Elephas maximus indicus: one gene and its partners. The protein of the gene in region 2 purifies or fractionates together with the protein of the main gene of each other region. This does not show direct contact. Links are inferred from orthologs where the notes say so. Each region holds a gene or a part of one and is shown on either strand. Other genes may lie near its edges.

Evidence for each region. Proteins that work in one complex are often made in the same cells at the same time.
Region 1: the proteins of STRN (region 2) and PPP2R1B purify together in Homo sapiens (affinity purification with mass spectrometry; 5 studies listed by BioGRID and IntAct, with this or other methods). This does not show direct contact. The link is inferred for Elephas maximus indicus from reciprocal best matches to the Homo sapiens genes STRN and PPP2R1B.
Region 3: the proteins of STRN (region 2) and TCP1 purify together in Homo sapiens (affinity purification with mass spectrometry; 3 studies listed by BioGRID and IntAct, with this or other methods). This does not show direct contact. The link is inferred for Elephas maximus indicus from reciprocal best matches to the Homo sapiens genes STRN and TCP1.

The regions. Positions count from the first base shown.
Region 1 is NC_064825.1:7,146,450-7,153,912, reverse strand, and holds the start of PPP2R1B (serine/threonine-protein phosphatase 2A 65 kDa regulatory subunit A beta isoform), read right to left. Parts: upstream 3,018-7,463; 5' UTR 2,942-3,017; coding exon 2,828-2,941; intron 1,939-2,827; coding exon 1,848-1,938; intron 1,207-1,847; coding exon 1,106-1,206; intron 1-1,105. UniProt on the Homo sapiens protein: The PR65 subunit of protein phosphatase 2A serves as a scaffolding molecule to coordinate the assembly of the catalytic subunit and a variable regulatory B subunit.
Region 2 is NC_064844.1:27,388,979-27,396,374, reverse strand, and holds the start of STRN (striatin), read right to left. Parts: upstream 3,012-7,396; 5' UTR 2,917-3,011; coding exon 2,683-2,916; intron 1-2,682. UniProt on the Homo sapiens protein: Calmodulin-binding scaffolding protein which is the center of the striatin-interacting phosphatase and kinase (STRIPAK) complexes.
Region 3 is NC_064819.1:232,164,017-232,170,891, reverse strand, and holds the start of TCP1 (T-complex protein 1 subunit alpha), read left to right. Parts: upstream 1-3,858; 5' UTR 3,859-4,031; coding exon 4,032-4,095; intron 4,096-5,085; coding exon 5,086-5,171; intron 5,172-5,522; coding exon 5,523-5,651; intron 5,652-5,781; exon of another isoform or gene 5,782-5,920; intron 5,921-6,875. Other genes in the region: MRPL18 (39S ribosomal protein L18, mitochondrial), read right to left, coding at 2,320-2,506, 2,789-2,837. UniProt on the Homo sapiens protein: Component of the chaperonin-containing T-complex (TRiC), a molecular chaperone complex that assists the folding of actin, tubulin and other proteins upon ATP hydrolysis.

The DNA.
Region 1 (7,463 bases), on a different chromosome or scaffold from region 2:
AGAATTAAGACTACCAATTTCAGGGGAAAAAAATAAACAAAAACAATCAAGAAATGCAAATCAAAATTACAACAGATACCATGTCATATCCAGTAGGATGGCTATAATTTAAAAAGAAAACAAGGAGCATTGGAAAAAATATGAAGAAAGTTGAAACCTTATACACTACTGGCGGGAATGTAAAATGTTTGCAGCTGCCATGGAAAACGGTTTGGTAGTTCCTCAAAAAGTTACATACAGAATCATCCAGCAATTCCACTCCTATGTATATACCCCAAAGAATTGAAAAAAAGTGTTGAAGTAAAAACTTGTACACGAATGTTCATAGCAGCATTGTCAACAGTCACAAGGTGGAAACAACCCAAAAGTTCAGTAACTGATGGAGAAACAAAAGATGGCATATATATCCATAAAACAACATTATTTAGCCATAATAAGGAATGAAGTACTGATACACACTACAACATGCTGAACCTTGAAAAAATTATGTTAAGTGAAAGAAGCCAGTCACAAAACACCACATATTGTATGATTCCATTTCTATGAAATATCTAGAATAGACAAATTCATAGAAAGCAGGTTAGTGGTTGCCACGGACTGGAGGGAGAACAGAAAGAAGGGTGTCTCTTAATGGGTATGAGGTTTCCATTTGGGATAATGAAAATGTTCTAGAACTAGACAGTGGTAATAGTGTCACAACATTCTGAATGCACTAAATACCACTAAATTGTACATCTTAAAATGGTTAAAATCGTGAAGTTTATGTGCACTTTACCACAACAAAAGAAAAAATGAGCATATACTGTGATTACGTTTTAAAAAAAAATCAAATCCTTTTTCTTCCCACCTCTAAACTAGTAAGGTTATAGAGGCAGGAAAGTGGTAGGAGTTGTATTAACAGTGAGGAAAAAAAGGGTTAACTGAGTTCAGAACGCCTACATTATTTGTTCTCTCGATGGCTAGCTAACATTATGACTATCTGCCCATAAAAAGATCATAATCTAAATTTCCTAAGAGACTACACACAGTGCTGGAATGGGGCTATCGCCAAACAATTATACTTCAGAAGTCCTACAAGGAGGGAAAGCAGCATATAAGTACTTACCAGCAGACAGTGGGCAAAGTCAGGACCTCCCACAAGGCCAGTAAAATTTCCCAGCTGCTCAGCAAGAGCTAGCAGTACCTCATCTTCATCATAGATTGTATCTACATAAGGCAATAGGGTACTCATCAATAAGGAGAGCTGGCCCAGCTGGACACTCACAAAAAACTAGGAAAAGATTCAATATGTAGCTATCAAGGAGCTCTGGTGCTGCAGTGGTTAAACACAGTGGTTAAACACTCAGCTGCAAATCGAAAGGTTGATAGTTCAAACCCACCCAGCCACTCTGCAGGAGAAAGATGTGGCAGGCTGATTCAATAAAGATTTACAGCCTTGGAAACCATATGCGGCAGCTCTACTCTGTCCTATAGGGTTGCTATGAGTCGAAATCGACTTGATCACATGGGATTTGGGGGATTTTTTTTTTTTAAGATGGCCAAGTCACAATCCTAACAGGGTCTCCTTTCCTCAGGGTCTCCTAGTCCTAGATCTGTTTTACAAATGAATTAGAAATTCATACTCCCGTAGCGAGTATTTTCCTATTAGTTAAATAGTTAATGTTTGAATACGTCTGGACACAATATTATACTTTGTTCTGCTTCTTTTGCATAGAAAGCACTAGGCTCAGTTTTGTATTTAATAATACTGCCGTTAACGAACCCTAAGAAAAAGTCAAAGTTTTGAAAACCACTGGAAAATAGTTTTAAACAAAGACTTAAAAAAAAAAATTCAAAGATTCACATACCAGTAAGGAATGGCAGCAGTTCAGTTCTAGTTCTTTCTACTCCAAGTGCTAAAGCAATTGTTGATAACTTCTTAATACTGTTAAGACGGAGCTATAACAAAGAAAGTGGACAGAACAAAATAAACGGTTGCAATTTAGACCAAAAGACAAACAGGCGGCAAACAGGTGAGTACAAGAAGATACAGGTAAGAAAAAAGGAAACCTTAACTTAGATTTTATCCTGTGAGGAACCTCAGGTGCCGTTCACAGCATCATTCGGCAGAGGAAGATTTCCTAGGAGAAACCGCCTGAAGAGCCCAGAAAAGAAAGGAATAAAAGAGAACACAGTATCCAGGAAGTGATATAACTTTTACAAATGAGAACTCTGGCAGCAGCGAAGCAGGTGAAACGGCTGAATACAACCTCGGACTTTTTTCAAAGACAGGCCCATCAGGGGTGATGCCCGGACTCACCTAGGTTATCGGCCACCAGCCCTCCTTCTATCCGCAGGTATCTCACCAGCACGTCGGAGGGCCGCCGGCGTCCTGCGCCCGCCCCCGCTCCGGCCTCTGCCGCTGGCGGGTCACCGAGGACGGCGGGTCACCGAGGACGGCGGGTCACCGAGGACGGCGGGTCACCGAGGACGGCGGCCCCCGGCCCCCGCCGCACCGCCCGCCCGCCGCACCGCCCGCCCGCCGCACCGCCCGCCCGCCGCACCGCCCGGAAGGGGCGCCCAGGCTGGGAGCCGATTCTCCGACAGCAGCCCCGGATGCGGCGGGGGCCGGGCCGACGTCCTTGAGGAAGGGTATCGGAGACGCCCCCGGGAGGGTCGGGCGGGGACGCCGCAACCTCTCGCCGGTCTCTTCTCTGCTCCCCCTCAAGCTTCTGCTCCAAACCCGGCTTTCTCAACGTCCGGGCCTCCCCCACAGCGGCGCCGGCCTCCGGCTTCCCTACCACGCGCCCGGCCGGGCCCACCTCAGCTTCGCAGCCCGAGCCAGTACCTGCACGTCCTCATTGCGGAGCTCGTCGATTAAAACCGCGATCGGGTAGAGCGAATCGTCTCCGTCTCCGCCCGCTGCCCCCGAGCCGCTACCGGGCCCCGCCGCGCCCGCCATGTTTTCCCTTCTTCCGCGGGTCGCCGCCGCCAGCTCAGTGTCCAGGCCCCTCCTCGCCCCGCGCCAAACCACGCCCACCCGCACCAAGCCACGCCCCGCGGCCAGGGAGGCGGGGCTAAGGCTCGCGCGGGCTCAGTGGAGGCGGGGAAGCGAGTCGCTCTTCAGGTGGTGGAGGTCTCCGCCCGCTGCCCCCAAGCCGCTGACGGACCCCACCGCGCCCGCCATGTTTTCCCTTCTTCCGCGGGTCGCCGCCGCCAGCTCCGTGTCCAGGCCCTTCCTCGCCCCGCGCCAAGCACGCCGCCCCGCACCAAGCCACGCCCTCCCGCACCAAGCCCAGCCCTCCCGCGACAAGCCACGCCCTCCCATAACAAGCCACGCCCCAAGTCCAGGGAGGCGGGGCTAAGGCCCGCGCGCGTGCACAGTGGAGGCGGGGAAGCCAGTCGCTCTTCAGATGGTGGAGGTCTCCGGCCGACCCCAGTTGTGGCAAGGTTGGGCTGAGAGTGCCATTACAGCCGAAAGAAGCAGGGGCAGGGATTCACCCTACTTGTGATCTGAAGTGACCAGGGACCTACCCCTCTGAGCGATCCGCACCGTGCGCTCCGAGGCCGACCGTGCCCTCCGAGGCCAACCGTGCCCTCCGAGGCCGACCGTGCGCTCCGAGGCCGACCGTGCCCTCCGAGGCCGACCGTGCCCTCCGAGGCCGACCGTGCCCTCCGAGGGCTACCGTGCCCTCCGAGGCCGACCGTGCCCTCCGAGGGCTACCGTGCGCTCCGAGGCCGACCGTGCCCTCCGAGGCCGACCGTGCGCTCCGAGGCCGACCGTGCCCTCCGAGGGCTACCGTGCGCTCCGAGGCCGACCGTGCCCTCCGAGGCCGACCGTGCGCTCCGAGGCCGACCGTGCCCTCCGAGGCCGACCGTGCCCTCCGAGGCCGACCGTGCCCTCCGAGGGCTACCGTGCCCTCCGAGGCCGACCGTGCCCTCCGAGGGCTACCGTGCGCTCCGAGGCCGACCGTGCCCTCCGAGGCCGACCGTGCGCTCCGAGGCCGACCGTGCCCTCCGAGGGCTACCGTGCGCTCCGAGGCCGACCGTGCCCTCCGCGGCCGACCGTGCCCTCCGAGGGCTACCGTGCGCTCCGAGGCCGACCGTGCCCTCCGAGGCCGACCGTGCGCTCCGAGGCCGACCGTGCGCTCCGAGGCCGACCGTGCGCTCCGAGGCCGACCGTGCCCTCCGAGGCCGACCGTGCGCTCCGAGGCCGACCGTGCCCTCCGAGGGCTACCGTGCGCTCCGAGGCCGACCGTGCCCTCCGAGGCCGACCGTGCCCTCCGAGGGCTACCGTGCGCTCCGAGGCCTACCGTGCGCTCCGAGGCCGACCGTGCCCTCCGAGGGCTACCGTGCGCTCCGAGGCCGACCGTGCCCTCCGAGGGCTACCGTGCGCTCCGAGGCCGACCGTGCCCTCCGAGGGCTACCGTGCCCTCCGAGGCCGACCGTGCCCTCCGAGGGCTACCGTGCCCTCCGAGGCCGACCGTGCCCTCCGAGGGCTACCGTGCCCTCCGAGGCCGACCGTGCCCTCCGAGGGCTACCGTGCGCTCCGAGGCCGACCGTGCCCTCCGAGGCCGACCGTGCGCTCCGAGGCCGACCGTGCGCTCCGAGGCCGACCGTGCCCTCCGAGGCCGACCGTGCGCTCCGAGGCCGACCGTGCCCTCCGAGGCCGACCGTGCCCTCCGAGGCCGACCGTGCCCTCCGAGGCCGACCGTGCGCTCCGAGGCCGACTGTGCCCTCCGAGGCCTACCGTGCCCTCCGAGGCCGACCGTGCCCTCCGAGGCATAGGGCCGGCCCAAGAGAGGGCCCCGGGCCTAGGGGAAGAAGGACTTGGCGCCTCCCCGCCAGAATTAGTGTATCTGGCTTCTGCTCCAAAAGACAAATAACGCAGGCGGAGAGAGAAAATGAACAGTGCTGTCTAAACTCACCAGTCAATATTTTTTCCACTTTATCCACGCAAGCTGTTAAAAACATGCTGCTCTCTTGTTTTTGTGTTTCTTTTCAGTCTTGGTACTGGAATGATGCCTTCTGTTATATTTATCCTATCTTTTTTAGCACGGTGTAAGTAAAACAAGCAAGCGCAACCAGGACAAGCCTTAATCATTCCAAATTGGGTGGAGTGGCTAATTTCCTTGTACAAAAAGAGCCTACACTGGCCTCCGTAAGGAAACCCTGGCGGTGGAGTGGTTAAGAGCTACAGCTGCTAACCAAAAGGTCCGCAGTTTGAATCCACCAGGCACTCCTTGGAAGCCCTATGGGGCAGTTCTACTCTGTTCTTTGGGGTCGCCATGAGTTGGAATCCATTCGACAGCAACGGGTTTGGGTTTTTTTGGTTTGCCTCGGTACGCCTCCAGGAGTCCTCAATGGCAGCAACGGGATGGAGGCGTGAGGGGGGCGGATGGTCTGTGTGTTACAAAACCTAATGTAAAGTTTTCATTTGCTGTCGTAAACCCAAACCCACTGCTGTCGAGTCAATTCCAACTCAGAGCGTGTAGAACTGCCCCACAGAGTTTCCAGGGAGCGCCTGGTGAATTCAAACTGCCGACCTTTTGGTTAGCAGCTGTAGCACTTACCCATTATACCACCAGGGTTTCCTTCCCCTTGTAAGGGCAGTACAAAATAGCTAGAAGGTCCTGTCTTTTTTTGCTGTTGTGATTTTGGACTGGAATTTAAGAGATAACTACATATGCTGATCAAAAGCTCTATAATAGTAATTTTATGTGTCTGAATAATAAAAATGTAAAGTATTAATAAATGCAATTTAGGTGACTTCTTTTTTAAAACAGAATTCCTGAAGGTAAACAGTAGATAGGGTGTTTGGCAATAGTGAAAGTTTGGGAACCAATGAACCTGAACCGTATTTCTCAAATTAGGTCTGGGGATGTATTCTAGGGTTTAATTTTGTTTTCACTTTGATAAGTTTTTTAGATTTGCATAAACATATTCTGGATTATTTGGATGTCCACTTTTATAACTTAGTATTACCACACAGCTTCAGTCCCTGCATTTGCATGTGTGTTTCATCGCTGCTTATTATTGTTCCAGGATATTGAGAAAACACAGTGCTGGATTTAAAATGAAAATGATGCTTTCCTACACAAAATGAAAGCCAAATGACATCATGGGACTGCACTGTCTCAGTAGTTTTAAGGAAGAAAAGTCATGAGAAAATTGAGATATCAGAAGTCACTTGGTGGTACAGGCATGTTGAACTCGAAAGATACTGAGTTTTGACAGGCAATACCATAGTCACTACACAAAGGATGGTTTAATTCCAGCAAAACAGCATCATCTGTCAAATTACTATAATGTTACTAATATGGACGGTATTCTTTTTGTAGTTTCATGTGTATTTAATCTGCTTTGCTTTTTTTAGTTGTATAAGAACTATACATAAAAGGACTTTATATAGCCCAGTTTGTATTTGTAAATTTAAGTAACATCGTAATAAAAATAATCTGACTGTTTCAGGAGTCCCTGGGTAGTGCGAATGGTGAATGCACTTAGCTGCTAACAGAAAGGTTGGAGGTTCAAATCTACCCTGAAGAGCCTCAAAGAAAGGTTAGAGGTTCAAGTCTACCCTGAAGAGCCTCAGAAGAAAGGTTGGGAGGTTCAAGTCTACCCTGAAGAGCCTCAGAAGAAAGGTTGGAGGTTCAAGTCCACCCTGAAGAGCCTCAGAAGAAAGGTTGGAGGTTCAAGTCCACCCTGAAGAGCCTCAGAAGAAAGGTTGGAGGTTCAAGTCCACCCTGAAGAGCCTCAGAAGAAAGGTTGGAGGTTCAAGTCCACCCTGAAGAGCCTCAGAAGAAAGGTTGGAGGTTCAAGTCCACCCTGAAGAGCCTCAGAAGAAAGGTTGGAGGTTCAAGTCCACCCTGAAGAGCCTCAGAAGAAAGGTTGGAGGTTCAAGTCCACCCTGAAGAGCCTCAGAAGAAAGGTTGGAGGTTCAAGTCCACCCTGAAGAGCCTCAGAAGAAAGGTTGGAGGTTCAAGTCCACCCTGAAGAGCCTCAGAAGAAAGGTTGGAGGTTCAAGTCTACCCTGAAGAGCCTCAGAAGAAAGGTTGGAGGTTCAAGTCTACCCTGAAGAGCCTCAGAAGAAAGGTTGGAGGTTCAAGTCTACCCTGAAGAGCCTCAGAAGAAAGGTTAGAGGTTCAAGTCTACCCTGAAGAGCCTCAGAAGAAAGGTTGGAGGTTCAAGTCTACCCTGAAGAGCCTCAGAAGAAAGGTTGGAGATTCAAGTCTACCCTGAAGAGCCTCAGAAGAAAGGTTGGAGGTTCAAGTCTACCCTGAAGACCCTCAGAAGAAAGGTCCAGCAATCTACTTCCAAAAAAATCAGCTGATGAAAACCCTGTGGAGCAGAAGTGTACTTTGACACATAAGGGGTCTCCCTGGGGTCAGAATCAACTCAACGGTAATTGGAGAGCTTTCAGGATTATTTTTCCTTTAAAAATTGATCCATATGCTACTCAAATTTGAGAAACAGTCAGCTAA
Region 2 (7,396 bases):
GACTGACAGGTTCCTGAAGGGACAAATTAGACTTAAAGTGATTTTTGTTGACTTTGATGTTAATGGCTTGAGAAGAGATTTAAAAATTAAAACAAAGACATCAGCTGCTTCATATTTCATCGCAATTCATTCAACTCTTTTACAGCCTATTGTTTTTCCAGGAAAATTCCAATGGCAAAAGGGAAATGTTCAAATTTAGTGACGTTGGTAATTGAAGAAAGAAACACTTTCAATTATACTAATAAGGGAGACTCAGGCCACAGATTCCTGCCAACCCTCCCCCCTCCCTACAAATACATACTGTTTGAAAAAATGACACTGTTTAAAATTTTCTCTGCAGAAGCTTAATTTAATTTGATATTTAAGTAGACTTCTGTTCTCTGACCACGAACCAGAAGATACTGTAAAAGTTGTACCCTTAATATGATGGGGATTATGGGGAAACTTACCTAAAGTTCAACATTTGACATAAATAACCCAGAAACATATGTCTCTGTGTCTGTGTCTAAATTTTAAGATTGACCACCAAAACCAAAAAAAAAAAAAAACCCATTGCCGTGGAGTAAATTCCAACCAATCCTCTAGAACATAGAACCATCGGGTTTCCAAAGAGCAGCTGGTAGATTTGAATTGTCAACCTTTTGATTAGCAGCAGAGCTCTTAACCACTGTATAACCAAGGCTCCTTTTTTTTTTTTAAAGATTGACTACAGCACAGATAAAAAGTGTAGACATGGGGAATGGGGAGGAGAGAGGGGAAAGGATGGGGTGGGTTGGAAGTTCCCTAACTTCTACATGTAGGAAGGAAAGTATTGTTTTCTTGATTGCTTCTGACCGAACTAGTCTGACTTATCTCACATTCCCTAAACTGAAAAATAAATTAAAATTTAAGCAGCTACATACAATTATTTTCTTCAACATCAAAGTTAAATCACCCCTGAAGTCTGAAATCCACAGGTTTATTTACAGATTGTACTGCTAATAAAAGTGATGGTATAAGCAATCAAATCTGCTGATTACTTATACCGTCAGACTCATTATTATAAAAATAACAAACACGAAAAGACCAAATACTGTAGGGATGAAAAAGCTGACAAAGAATATATAAACATATAACCGTAGAAACTGTAAAAGCAGAATTGTAGAAATGGAGTCACTCTTGCTTCACTTAACTGCTTATATGTCATCTCCTCTGAGAAGTCTTCCCAGACCACCCCATCTAAAACAGCTACCCCATCACACTCTATTTCTGTATCCCAATTATTTTTCCTCATAGTAGTTGCCACTACAGGCCATCTTCTTGCCCCTCTCCCCCCACCCCCCCCATCTGCCTCCTGATTAAAGGCAAACTCCATGAAGGTAGAGGCTTTGTAGGTCTTGTTAATCCCTGGGCCTAGAATCACATAGCCAGCGCTCAATAAACATACTCTGAATAAATTATGAAAAGGAAGCCAAAAGTGGTTAAAGGATTTCCTCAAGGTCACAGTAGTAAGCACAGCTCGTACTAGAACCTGTCTCCTCTTCTCAAAGCCACTTCCACTACACCAAAGGAGACCATTCCAGCACATGGTTCTATTTAATAGATTTCTCCTTTTCTTTAAGTGCCAAAGAAAATGCACGTTACCAAACAAAGTGACACACTAGGTGGCATGTGAACTTCAAGTGTTTCCCCAACCAAAACTAGATTCATGTTTTGTAAACAGACAGGATTAGCCTATAAAATTGAAAGGTACAGCCATTCACAATTCTTTAAACTCCTTGTGAAATTTGTGTATGTCTTGGAATTTTCAAGATCAGCCACTGAAAGCCTACTCACCAACTCAAAATGGCCTGTAAAGTATCCGCCTCACTTTCATTCAACTATAAAAGCCACCACCGCTCCTCCCTGGATATACTTATCTTGCAGACTATGCATCAAAAAGCAATGTAACCAACTTTTAAGCCCCTGTAGTTCTTTTTAAAGTTATGGGATATCTCACAAAACAATGCAAATAAAATTAGCCCTTGGAAAGTTTTAGATTCTGAGAACAGGAACCATCTCTGAGCCACCATCTATCTGACTGTGATCATCTAAATCCTTCCTTCAAAATCCATGAATGTGAACTATCTCAAAGAAATGCGGGGGAGGGAGGAGGGGGTGGACTAGAAACATTTACATATCTAAAAAAAGTTAGTATTTCTAATAACACTTTTGCCTGAAGTCAAGGCCTTAATGACACAACTTGTTGTCTTTTTTGATCCCCTTCTTTTCAGAGAGCGGAGCCAAGTGCCAATACCCTTTGCTGGGAAGATCCCTAAGCCCAGGATGGGACACACCAGGATAGATGATTTGCTCGAGGTCTCTCAAAACTACTGTCAGCTCAATTAGTAAACTGAAAGGGATGACCTAAGATGCAGGATAGTAAGAGAGTTCGAATGAGACTGAGAGTTATGAGTGAGGAGCAGCAGGCGAAAAGCAGCGGGGAGGGTAAACAACGCACCAGGGGCGGGAGTGGGTACTGAGGTCAAGGAACGGGGGTCAGCGAAAGGCAAAGGTGAGGGGAGGACCGGGACGAGGTTCGGGTGGGATGGGCGGGAGCAAGGCGGAGAGGACAGGCGAGGGCCGGGGGAAGGAGGGGGCCGGGGCGGGGCGGTAAGGAGCGAAGAGGCGGGATGAAGTGGGCCAGGCCGGGAGGGTCTTTACCTGCAGCTCCGCCCGCTCCACCTCCCACTGGGCTCTCTCCACCTCGAAGCGGGCCCACTCGTGCTGCAGGAAGTGCAGGATTCCTGGGAGGCTGTACTGGGCTCGGGCTGCCCCCGCCGCGGCCGCCCCGTCGCCGGCCACGGCAGCCTCCGCCAGAGGCCCGAGCCCCTTGGCACCACCGGCGCCCGGGTGGTTGTTGCTGAAGAAGACGCCAGGACCCGCCTGCTCGTCCATGGCGGCCGCAGAAGCCGGGGAGCTGCCCAAGCGCCCAGCACCGGAGGCAACAGCGGCGGCCAGCAGCGCCTCCTCCTCCCTCCGCCGCTCCCCGCCCACACCCGTCAGCAGAGAGCAGCCGCCTAGGCGCGGGGCCGCCGAGCCCGTGACGGGCCGGGAAATGGGTCAACTGCGGCGCGCGGGCGGCGCGGGGCTTGCTGGGAAACGTAGTCGCGGAGCGCGGCGCAGGGCGAGCGCGGCGAGGCCGCCTTTCCGGCTGCGGCTGGGCCGGGGTGTGGCTGAGTCCCGCCAGCGGAGATGGGGGCCGCCGGGACGGGGAGTGGCGCTTTCCTCTCGGGCCGGCGTTGGGCGCCGGTAGGCAGCGCTCCAGCCTCAGTCGCATGCGGAAGTTCTAGGGCGGCGTTGCCTGTTTCATACACACATACACACGCGGAAGTTATCACGCCAAAAATACCAGAGTTGCACATCTTTTAGGGCTTCCTGGTAGTTCTGTTAAGAAACAAGCTCAAAAGCGAACTACCGTGATCGCGCCTGGACGGGTGTTCTCCACCCAGCTGACCAGTCCGTTCCCTTCGGCTCCGACTTGGGTGGTTCTCTGACCCTAGACTCTCCTCAGCTCTGGCAATCTGCATACCTCCGTCGCTTTGCCTCTTTTTCACTCGGAAGTTCAGACCTGTTTCCTGATCCTTTTTCACTTTTAAGAAGCTCTCGCCACCTCCCTCCTGTACTCAGCGCAGCAAATTTCTGCTTCTCTTTTCCAAATCCTGGTTTGTTGACACCTCATCTGAAAAACTACTGAAGTCCTGTAAAAGTTACAGATATCCAAGGCTTCTGGTATCTTGTTCTGCTTTTCTTAACCTTATCCCGCAGGTTTTTTACTCAATTCAACAAATTCTAGATTACTAGTTATATCCCACACCGAGGATGTAGAGATAAATAAGACATAGTTCCTATTATCAAAGAAAGATTGACATATGTATAACCAACTCTCACAGTACGTCAAAGCTACACTACCTGAAAGAACAAAATTCCCTTTCTGCTCCCTAAAGCTGTTTTAGGTATCCAGGCACTTCTCTTTTTTCCTTTGTCCCATTCCCAATTTCTTCCACCATTCACCTGCGAACTGGCAACAGTATTAGCCTACCAAAGGTACACCGAGTTCCTCTCCTTTTAAAAGTTTCTTTTTAATGTTTTTCTTCGCCAAAGTCTCTGTCATGTGACTACAAATTCACACTACAACGAAAATTGTTAACAAATGAAAATGTAATTGAGCCCCGGTACTGTCACTCTAACAAGTTATCTCTAATTCTTTTGTGGGATGAAAGTCTGCGATATGAGATCTGATGACCATGAAAAAATGTAAAGATATAGGCTGGTGAGTGACATGTAAGGGAAGGACATCCTGTCCCTATCCTGTCCTCCACCCCTTCCCATGAATCCTTGGGGGAAGGACAGGAAACACATTGTATTTATTCTGGTTGCGAATAAGGCATGGCAAGCTCTCTTCCCACAGTTATTGCATGTTTTTGCTTTATTATGATAAAAGATGCATCCAACCCTGGCCAAATTCCCTGTCATAAATTATTTTGACTTTTAGTGTCCTTTGAGATAGAGGCTAATCCTCTCATTTTACAGCCCAAGAAACCAAAGCCCAGAGAGGCTAGGAGACTTTTCCACAATGAGGCCTTTAATAAGTGGCACAGCCAAAAGTAAAACCCAGATTTCCTGACTGCTATTCTAGTGATCTTTTCATTAGCTCATTGCCTCCTCTTGTGTTCCTTATTAGACCTACCAGAACACAAAGGGGACAATTATGAATAACAGCATGCTTTGTCATCTGGGTGATTTAAGCGATCTTGTGGTTTTTATGAACTTTGTATGTTAAAAATTATCTTTTTCTCTAACATGTCCAACAATCCTTTAAATCAATAAATAACAGACTATAACACATAATTAAATTTAAACATAACCTGGACTATCACAGATATATAAAAACACTGTTTAAACTCATAGTGTAGTGACATTGCTTACAATACTATTATAGCTTTTTGCTTTTTAAGGACTTATGTACACACAAAATCAATTCTGTAATATTATGAGCATTTCTTTTTGCAAGAGACATTCACTCAATGTACCAAAATATTAGAAGTGATTATATTAAGGTAGAATTACAAAGAAAATTTACTTTACTTTTCTCATTTTCCAAAAACTTCTATAATACGATTTCTTTTTAACCAAAAAAAAAAAAATACTTTTTTAAAAAAAGGTCTTCCCTTGCAGTTCTTTTGCCTTGAATTGTTTTAGGAGAATGATTTCCTCCTATACGGAGGAAGGATAGTCTGGTGGTGTAGTAGTTAAGTGCTATAGCTGCTAACCAAAAGGTTGGCAGTTCAAATCCACCAGCTGCTCCTTGGAAACTCTGTGGGGCAGTTCTCCCCTGTCGTATAGGGACTGCGAGTTGAAATTGACTTGACAGCAGTGGATTTGGTGTTATACTGAAGCAGGGAGGCCGTAGTGGTGCAATGCTTAAAAGCTCAGCTGCAACCAAAAAGGCTGGCAGTTCCAACCCACCAGTCACTTGCTGGAGAAAGATGTGGCAGGCTACTTCTGTAGTTTTACAGCCTTGCAAACCCGATGGGGCAGTTCTACTCTGTCCTATAGGGTCACTGTGAGTGAGAATCTACTCAAAGGCAACAGGTATACCTAATCAACTTCTGAAACCATTAGTTTGGAATAATAATTTTCTTTTTTTCTTTCTTGTTTGTGTTTATCTGTGCTTTTCGAATTTTCTGTATTCAGTATGAATTACCTTTTTTAAATAAACGTTTTGTGGAGGTGTTATGGATTGAATTGCATTCCCCAAAAATATGTGTCGTAAATTGTAATCCCTATAACCTTGGTGGCACAGTGGTTAAGTGCTACAGTTCTACTCTGTCCTATAGGGTCGCTATGAATGGACTCGTCAGCAGCAGGTTTGGCTTGGTATACCTGTGGTTATAATCCCGTTTGGGAATGGGTTTTCTTATGTTAATGATACAGTATTACTGTAGGGCGTGTCTTAAATCAATCTCTTTGGAGATACAGATTAAAAAAGCAAGTGACCAAGCAGAGATGGTGGAAGATAGATACCAAGCCACGTGAAGATCACCAAGGAGTAGAAGCTCAGAAGAGACAAGGATCTTTCTTGACAGAGAAAGCCTTCTCCTAAAGCCAGCACCCTGAACTGAGACTTCTCGCCTCTCAAACTGTGAAAACATAGATTTGTTTGTTAAAGCCACCCATTTGAGATATTTCTGTTATAGCAGCACTAGATAAGATAGGAAGTGTAACAGAAAGCTTGACAAATGTTAAGTGAACACTTCAGTGAACTGTCACAAACTGTAACCACTACCCAGATCAGGACATGGAGCATTGCAAGCACCCAGGAGCCCCTCTCCATGTGCCCTCTCATTCACAACAGCAAGAATAACTTTATAATTAAAAAAAAAAAAAAAAGTTAAAAAATGAATGATTGGAAAGGACACGGCACTTGCATTCAGTCAAACCTGAATTTTCTTCCTGATGTTACAATTTTCCCAATCTGGAAACAAGGGCAAATGGTTCAACTTTTTTCCAGCCTCAGTATTCTGATTTTTAATATAGCCCACTACTGTCAAGTCGATTCCAACATATCAAACCTGTAGGGTTTCTAAGGCTGTAAATCTCTACAGAAACACACTGTCACATCTTTCTCCCACAGAGCCACTGTTGGTTTTGAACCACCAACCTTTTGGTTAACAGTTGATCACTTTAACCACTGCGCCACCAGGACTTCTCATGATTTTTAATATGGGAGCAACATTTACTTTATGGAGTTACTGTGAAGATTAAATGAGAGAAGACATGTAAATCCCCTAACACAGTGCCTGACATAATACACTAAAAAATGATAGCTGCTATTGTAATTTTTTTTTTTTTTTAATTGTAATAGAGTTCACAAGATCAAATGAAAACAACAGACTCCTGGCAAATACTACGGGCTCAGTGGTTGTTCTTTTTACCTTTTTCATTCCCTACTCAGAACTTTAATTCAGTAGAGTTAAAATAATCTTAAACATTAAGCCTCAGACCTCAGTGTTGCTGATTTCTTGATCTTTTCATTTTATAATTAATAATGCCTAAGTGACACAAAAATGCAAAAATGGGGTTCCCTTTTTAAGAACAGAGAACTCTCGTCAAAATGTTGATTTATCTATCAGTAAACCAGTTTAAAATTAAAAAATGGTGAAATGCTGATAGATTATTTAGATAATGGAGTGTTTGCTATTTTTTGGTTTATGTGTGTGTGCTTTGGTGGGGATGGGGATTCAGGTACAGGAAATTACTTAATAAAGCCCTTCTAGCCATAGTCATTGTGGCTTCCACACAATGATTGGGCGGGGCCACGCAAATAAGGAATATGGAACCCTGACAAGGTGTGGTGGTTGGAGTTGTGTGTCAG
Region 3 (6,875 bases), on a different chromosome or scaffold from region 2:
GAGAGATGAGGGGGCAGAGGGGGTCAGAAGCTGGCACAGTGCACACAAAAAGAGAGAGTGGAGGGAAGGAGTGTGCTGTGTAATTAAGGGGAGAGCAATTAGGAGTACATAGCAAGGTGTATATATATTTTTGTATGAGAGACTGACTTGATTTGTAAACTTTCACTTAAAGCACAATAAAAATTAAAAAAAAAAAAAAAAGGTACCATCTTTATAATAAAACATCTCATGCCTGGAATCTGCAACTCCTAACTGGTCTTCCTGCTTCTACTCTTGTCCCCTTAAAAATGTACTCTCCCCCAAACAGCCAGAATGATCTTTAAAAACCACATAATTCAGACTCAAACCTTAAAACTTTTCATAGCTTCCCATTTGTTATGGATTGAATTGTGTCCCCCCAAAATACGTGTTGTAAATCCTAACTTCTATGCCTGTGATTATAATCCCATTCAGGAACTGGCTGTCTTTGCTATATTCATGAGGCAGGATTAGTGTAGAATGGATCTTGAGTCAGTCTCTTTTGAGATATAAAAAGAGACTAAACAATCGAGCAGAGAAAAAGACGGAGGAAAGACTGATGCCAAGCCACAGGGAGATCTCCAAGGAATCAGGAAACAGGAGCTGAAGAGAGGAGAACCCACCCCTCCCCAGAGATGACAAGAAAGCCTACCATTAGGGTCAGCACCCTGAATTCAGACTTCTAGCCTCCTAAACTCTGAGAAAATAAATTTTTTGTTAAAGCTACCCAATTGTAGTATTTCTGTTATAACAGCACTAAACGACTAAGACACCACTGCAGTGAAAATACAGTTTAATCTGCTTACCTTAATCTACAAAGGCAATGATCTGTCCTCTCCCTACTCCACCATTCTCACCACACCACTCACCCCTTTGCCCACTGAGCTCCAGGTACACAGGCCTTTCTGTTCCACAGACTCACCAAGTTCACTTCCAGCCCAGCTGTTTCCTCTGTTAGGAAGGCTCTCCCTGGCATTTCACAGAGACAGTTTGGTTTCCTCCTATCTTTCACATCTCACTTTCTTAAGCGTCATCTCCTCATAGAAGTCTTAATAGGCACCCAGTCCCTCACTCTGACATCCTCTTTACATTTTCTCCATGACACATGTTTATTTATTGTTTCAGCCCATTTCAACTTCCTGAGAGAGTCCGGGGATGGAGAACACAATAAGCAAGGTAAGCACAGGCTTACTTCTGCATACTTACTAATCTGTAGTGACCAATTTCACATGGGTTTCATGGTGAAATCCGTATGAAATTGGTCACTAAAACAACACAAAAAACCCACCACCCTTCCGGGGTCTTAGGTGCTAACAAGTGGCCATCTAAGATGCATCAATTAGTCTCAAACCACCTGGAACAAAGGAGAATGAAGAACAAAGACAAGGAAATTATGAGCCCAAGAGACAGAAAGGGCCACATAAACTGGACACTACATTAGCCTGAGACCAGAAGAACTAGATGGTGCTTGGCTACAGCCGATGATTGCCCTGACAGGGAACAGAACAGAGAAACCAAGAGAACAGGTGAGCAGTGGGATGCAGACCCCAAATTCTTATAAAAAGACCAGACTTAATCATCTGACTGAGACTAGAAGGACCCTGGAGGTCATGGTCCCCAGACCTTCTGTTAGCCCAAGACAGGAAAGATTCCCAAAACCAACTCTTCAGACAGGGATTGGACTGGACTATGGGATAGAAAATGATACTGGTGAGGAAATGTGCTTCTTGGATCAAGTAGACACATGAGACTATGTTGGCATCTCCTGTCTGAAGTGGAGATAATAGGGCAGAGGGGGTCAGAAGGTGGCTGAATGGACATGAAAGAGAGAGCGGAGAAAAGCAGTGTGCTGTCTCATTACGGGGAGAGCAACTATCAGTATATAGCAAAGTGTATATAAATTTTCATATGAGAGACTGACTTGATTTGCAAACTTTCACTTAAAGCACACACACACACAAAAAAAACCACCACCGTTGAGTCGCTCCCGACTCATAGAGGCCCTATAGGACAGAGTAGAACTGCCCCACAGTTTCCAAGAAGCGTCTAGTGGATTTGAACTGCCAACCTTTTGGTTAGCAACCGTAGCACTTTAACCACTAAGCCACCAGGATTTCCGAAATTGGTCACTGCAGATTAATAAATGCGCCCAGTAAGCACAGTGCTTACCTCCCTATTGGACACTCCGCCCCTGAGAGAGTCCCACGCAGTACCCGCACATAGTAAGGGATGGATAAACGTTTGTTGAATAAACGGATGAGAACAATTTGGAGGCTACCGCACAAACACAGACTTAATTACCTGTGCCAAAACTCACGAGAGGGCCACACGGTCCCCCAACCCCGTTCTTTCCTGGCTACAGCCAAGAGCTCGAGATTCCGGGGATTCCGGTTGGTGAACTCCGGGGCAACGGCTTCATTATCCACAGGGTCCACTTCAGGCTTCACCACTGCTTTGGAACTGGTTGAGAGGGCTGCAAACCCAAACTCTAAAAAATGGACACAACCATACTTACCTAAGCCTAATATTAACAAATCAGGAATATGATCTGACCTCTATCCCCAATCGCTCCCCCAATCTTCCCGCCCTGTTAGAAGAACGAAATACGTTTGATCAATGAATCCTTAATCTTTCACTATTTTCATCATAATGGTATTAGCTTGATTACTTTTCGAAGGTGGATACAGAGTAAAAAATGCGATTTGCATATCTACGTTTATTGTGAAGACTCTGGGGAGTGATCTGAGAAAAATGGGGCAAAATTAGTTACCGGGGTTTCTGCAAACCGACAAAGCCCAGAACCGCGACCGAAGCGCCATCGCTGAGGGACCTCAAGCAAAGCCTCAGAAAAGCCTCGCCTCCTGCTCCTTGCAGGCGTCTCAGCGGTCCGCGGCCGCAGCCATATCCACTTGAGAGGTTGAGGCCGGTGGAGGTCATCAATTCTCAACGTGAGCCTCTCTCGCCCCCGGAACTAACAAACCTCTGCAGTTGAGTGGTCGAGAGGGCCATCTGTCATGTCAGTTTCTCCAATCACCGCTTACGTTTAGACGCACGCAGGCATGTAACGGACCAACCATTTCGCAGGAACGCATTAGTGGGTGGGGCACTATGTGAGGGAAACGCTTCATGTGTCTTCAGCATTAACATTCCATCTCCGTTCCCGGCTTGCGAAGCTGGTTGCGGTCGGGCCAAGGAGCTTCCAGCTTCGAGGTAGCCCCTAACTTCACATTCCCACATTTGGGAGCTTTAGTCGCAAAGCTTAGACCAACTATTGTCGGCTCCGCACACATCCCACCTGGGCACTGAGGAAATGAGGCCGGGCAAGATTACAATTCCCTGGTTTAAAACGGGTGGTTGCCTTCCTCTAGCTACAGTTTCTCCCGTAATACGTATAAGCCTTGTAGGATGCCTGTCGCGTTCTACCGAGGTTCAGGCCCCAAGGCCATAACTTAAGCGCTCTAGAACGAAACCTGGCCGACCTGCCCCGTGCTCCCTGAGCCCCATCGACAAGGGAGCAGAACAAAAAAGAGAGCACGAGGCTAGGACGTAGGATGGCCCCCTGCTGCCACACCCCCACTCCAAACTCCGCCTTGCCGGCCATCTTTTCTAGAAGCCGCTAGAATGTCCCAACTCGCATGCGCAACCGTGCCGCGGGTGAGCGCTCACCCGAGCACCTCCTCCCTCCAGAGGCCCAGGAATCTGACTTCCGCTCCCCGACCTTCGCGCCCTTCTCATCCGCACTCTAATTGGACAAAAATGCTGACACGCCTTTGTGTACGCCCTCTTCTTGTTCCCCACTTCCGGCATATTAACCCTCCTCTTCCCCCGAGCCCTTCTCTTTTTCCCGGCCTGCCCCGCGGCCGGGCCGGGGGAGCTGGGAAGCGCGGCGGGCGCTGTTACCCAGCAGTCCCCGCGGCGTTGGTCGGGTAGGTGCACGCCGTCGCCGCTGTCTGCCCAGGGAACGAGAGACTAGTCTCCCGCGGTGTGAGAGGAACGTGTGCCCTGCTGCGAGGATGGAGGGACCGTTGTCCGTGTTCGGGGACCGCAGCACCGGGGAGGCGATCCGCTCCCAGAACGGTAAGGGCGGCGAGGCCTGGTCGAGCCGAGCCTCAGCCCTGGGCCCGCGGCTGCCCTGCTCTCATCTCGCCGCCTCCCCTACCCCCAGAAAAGAGGCGTTGGGGCTTCTTTGGCGGGGTCCCGTCGGCTGTCGTCGCCGCTTTTGGGCGGGCAGCAGCGCCCTCTCGCCGAAGGGGAAGCATCCTGGAGAGAGCAGCACGCCGTGAGAGCTGCGCCGGCTGGGCGGGGAGGCCGGGGCCGGGAAAGCGGGAAGGAGCGTCTTCCTCAGCCCTGGGGCTCGCCTTTACAGATAAACAAATGGCCGCAGGGCATAGGTGGCACGCCGGTTGTAGCGCCCCGGCTCTCGTCTGCAGCGGATGCCGGTCCCCGACCTCCAGATCCGGTCGTTACCTCGCTTATCGCTGATGGCGTCCCGTAATAAAATCAGCTGGCGAAGTTGGAATTGTATGTTAGTGTTCTTCGTCCCGAAATAATTAGGGAAGGCGATTCCTGGGTGACTAGTAAACGTGGATATGCTTTATGTTAGTCAAAGCTGTTGTTGCTGTTCCTGAGCTTGTTTTGAAAACGTTTTTGTAGGTTCCTAATTTTTTGGGCGAATTTGAAGTAAAATCACTGTTTTTTCATTCCATTACAGCTTTTTTAGTTCCTGGTAAAGAGACTGCTAATGTAATTTTTCCTGCCCTAAAAGGTGTCAGGATCTGAAGGAAAGGGTGATGTATAGTTACAGTGTGTGGAGTGGTAGAACATAAAACTGACCAGTAAATTGCTTTTTTAATTCTAGAAGGGAGCAAAAGGATTATTCTTTTAAAGATTTTGCATCCCTTTTATAAGTATATCCAAAATGAATTTTCCGAGATTCCCCCACCCATCAGGTTTTTAACAGAGAAGATTCGTGAATTTGGGGAAGTTTAGTTTACTCGGGCTGAAATGATTGCTTTTGGAGTTGTAGGTTTTTCTAATTGTGCTTCTTTTTCCATTGATTGACCACAGTTATGGCTGCAGCTTCTATTGCCAATATCGTAAAAAGTTCTCTTGGTCCAGTTGGCTTGGATAAAATGTTGGTGGATGACATTGGCGTAAGTACGACTATTGTGTTCATGTTATTGTGAAGAAAAATAAGAGTTCTTAAAGTTTTGCTGCATCAATTTTTTTTATCAAAACCTTGGTATTTGAAGATGTAAAAGGTGAGCATGTATTATAATGGGGCTGTGTTAATTTGAAACCAAACTTGTTTCGGTCGAGTTGATTCTGACTCATAGCAACCCTATAGGACAGAGTAGAACTAACTGCCCCGTAGAGTTTCCAAGGAGCACCTGGTGAATTCGAACTGCCGACCTTTTGGTTAGCAGCTGTAGCACTTAACCACTCCACCCTGAGGGTTTCCTGTATTAATTTAGGGGCTATCTGTTTTCTCCCCCCGTTATTAGGATGTAACCATCACTAACGATGGTGCAACTATTCTGAAGTTACTGGAGGTAGAACATCCTGCAGCTAAGGTTCTTTGTGAGCTGGCCGATCTTCAGGACAAAGAAGTTGGAGATGGAACTACTTCGGTGGTAGGTACTCGTCTAGTAGGGTGGCAAAACATCTGCATTTTTAATGTTGGTTTTTGAAAGTTTTGACAGTATTCATACATCACACAAGGGTTTTATCTGTCCCCCCAACCTTCTTCCTGTATCTTTTTTTTTTCCCATTTGACTACCACTTTAGATCTTAATAGTAGATCTTAGCGGTTATGCTTGTGGGATAGATTAAAATTGCCGTGATCTGAAGAGGGAGGATTTTTTGTGTCCTTCTTCTATATGAAATGGCTGTACAGAAAATTAGTGACATTTATGAACTTTGTCTTTATGATTACCTAGTGAGAAAAATGTTACTTATGTATTTTTCAAGTTTATATTTTAGAGGTTGACAGTCTCAGGATTTTAAAATGGAAATGTGAGAAGTTAATGTACCACAGTATGACGGTGATAGAAAAAATCAGTAGACGCGATTAATAAGGTGATGTAAATAAACTTCTCGAAGACCATCCAGCACACTGGTGTAGTAGAAACACTGTTGTTTGATGAGGAGGATATTAATTCTAGCAAAATAAGAGGTAGTTTATGGGAGGGGACAGGGGAGAGTTAGTATTTATGGATTAATCTTTTAACCCTGAAAGAATAATCTCTTGAAATAATGAAAATAGTGTTTTATCTGAGTAATTTGTTTTATGGTGATGTCTCTAACAACATAGTTTACAAAAATCAAGTAGACAGGATTTTTTTTTTTTTTTTTACATGAAGGTTTACAGAACAAACTAGTTTCTCATTAAACAGCACACATAGTGTATTATGACATTGGTTAAAAACCCCACAAATGGCAACACTCTTCCTTCTCAACGTCGGGTTCCCCGTTACCAGCTTTCCTGTTACCTCCTGCCCTCTAGTCCTTGCCCCTGGGCCTAAGTGCCCCTTCAGTCTTGTTCTGTTTTATGGGCCTGTGCAGTCTTTGCCTGGAGGTTAAATCTGAGGAGTAACTACATTACTGAGCTGAAAGGATTTCCGGGGGCCGTACTCAGGGTTTCTCCAGTCTGTCAGGCCAGATCAGGCTTTTTTTTTGTTGTTGTTGTTGTTCTTTAAGTGAAAGTTTACAAATCAAGCTAGTCTTTCATACAAAAATTTATATGCACCATGCTATATACTCGTAGTTGCTGTCCTCCTAATGAGACAGCAACTCCTTTCCAGTCCCTATTTTCACTGACAGGATTTTTTTTTTAAGTTTCTGGTAATTATTTCTTA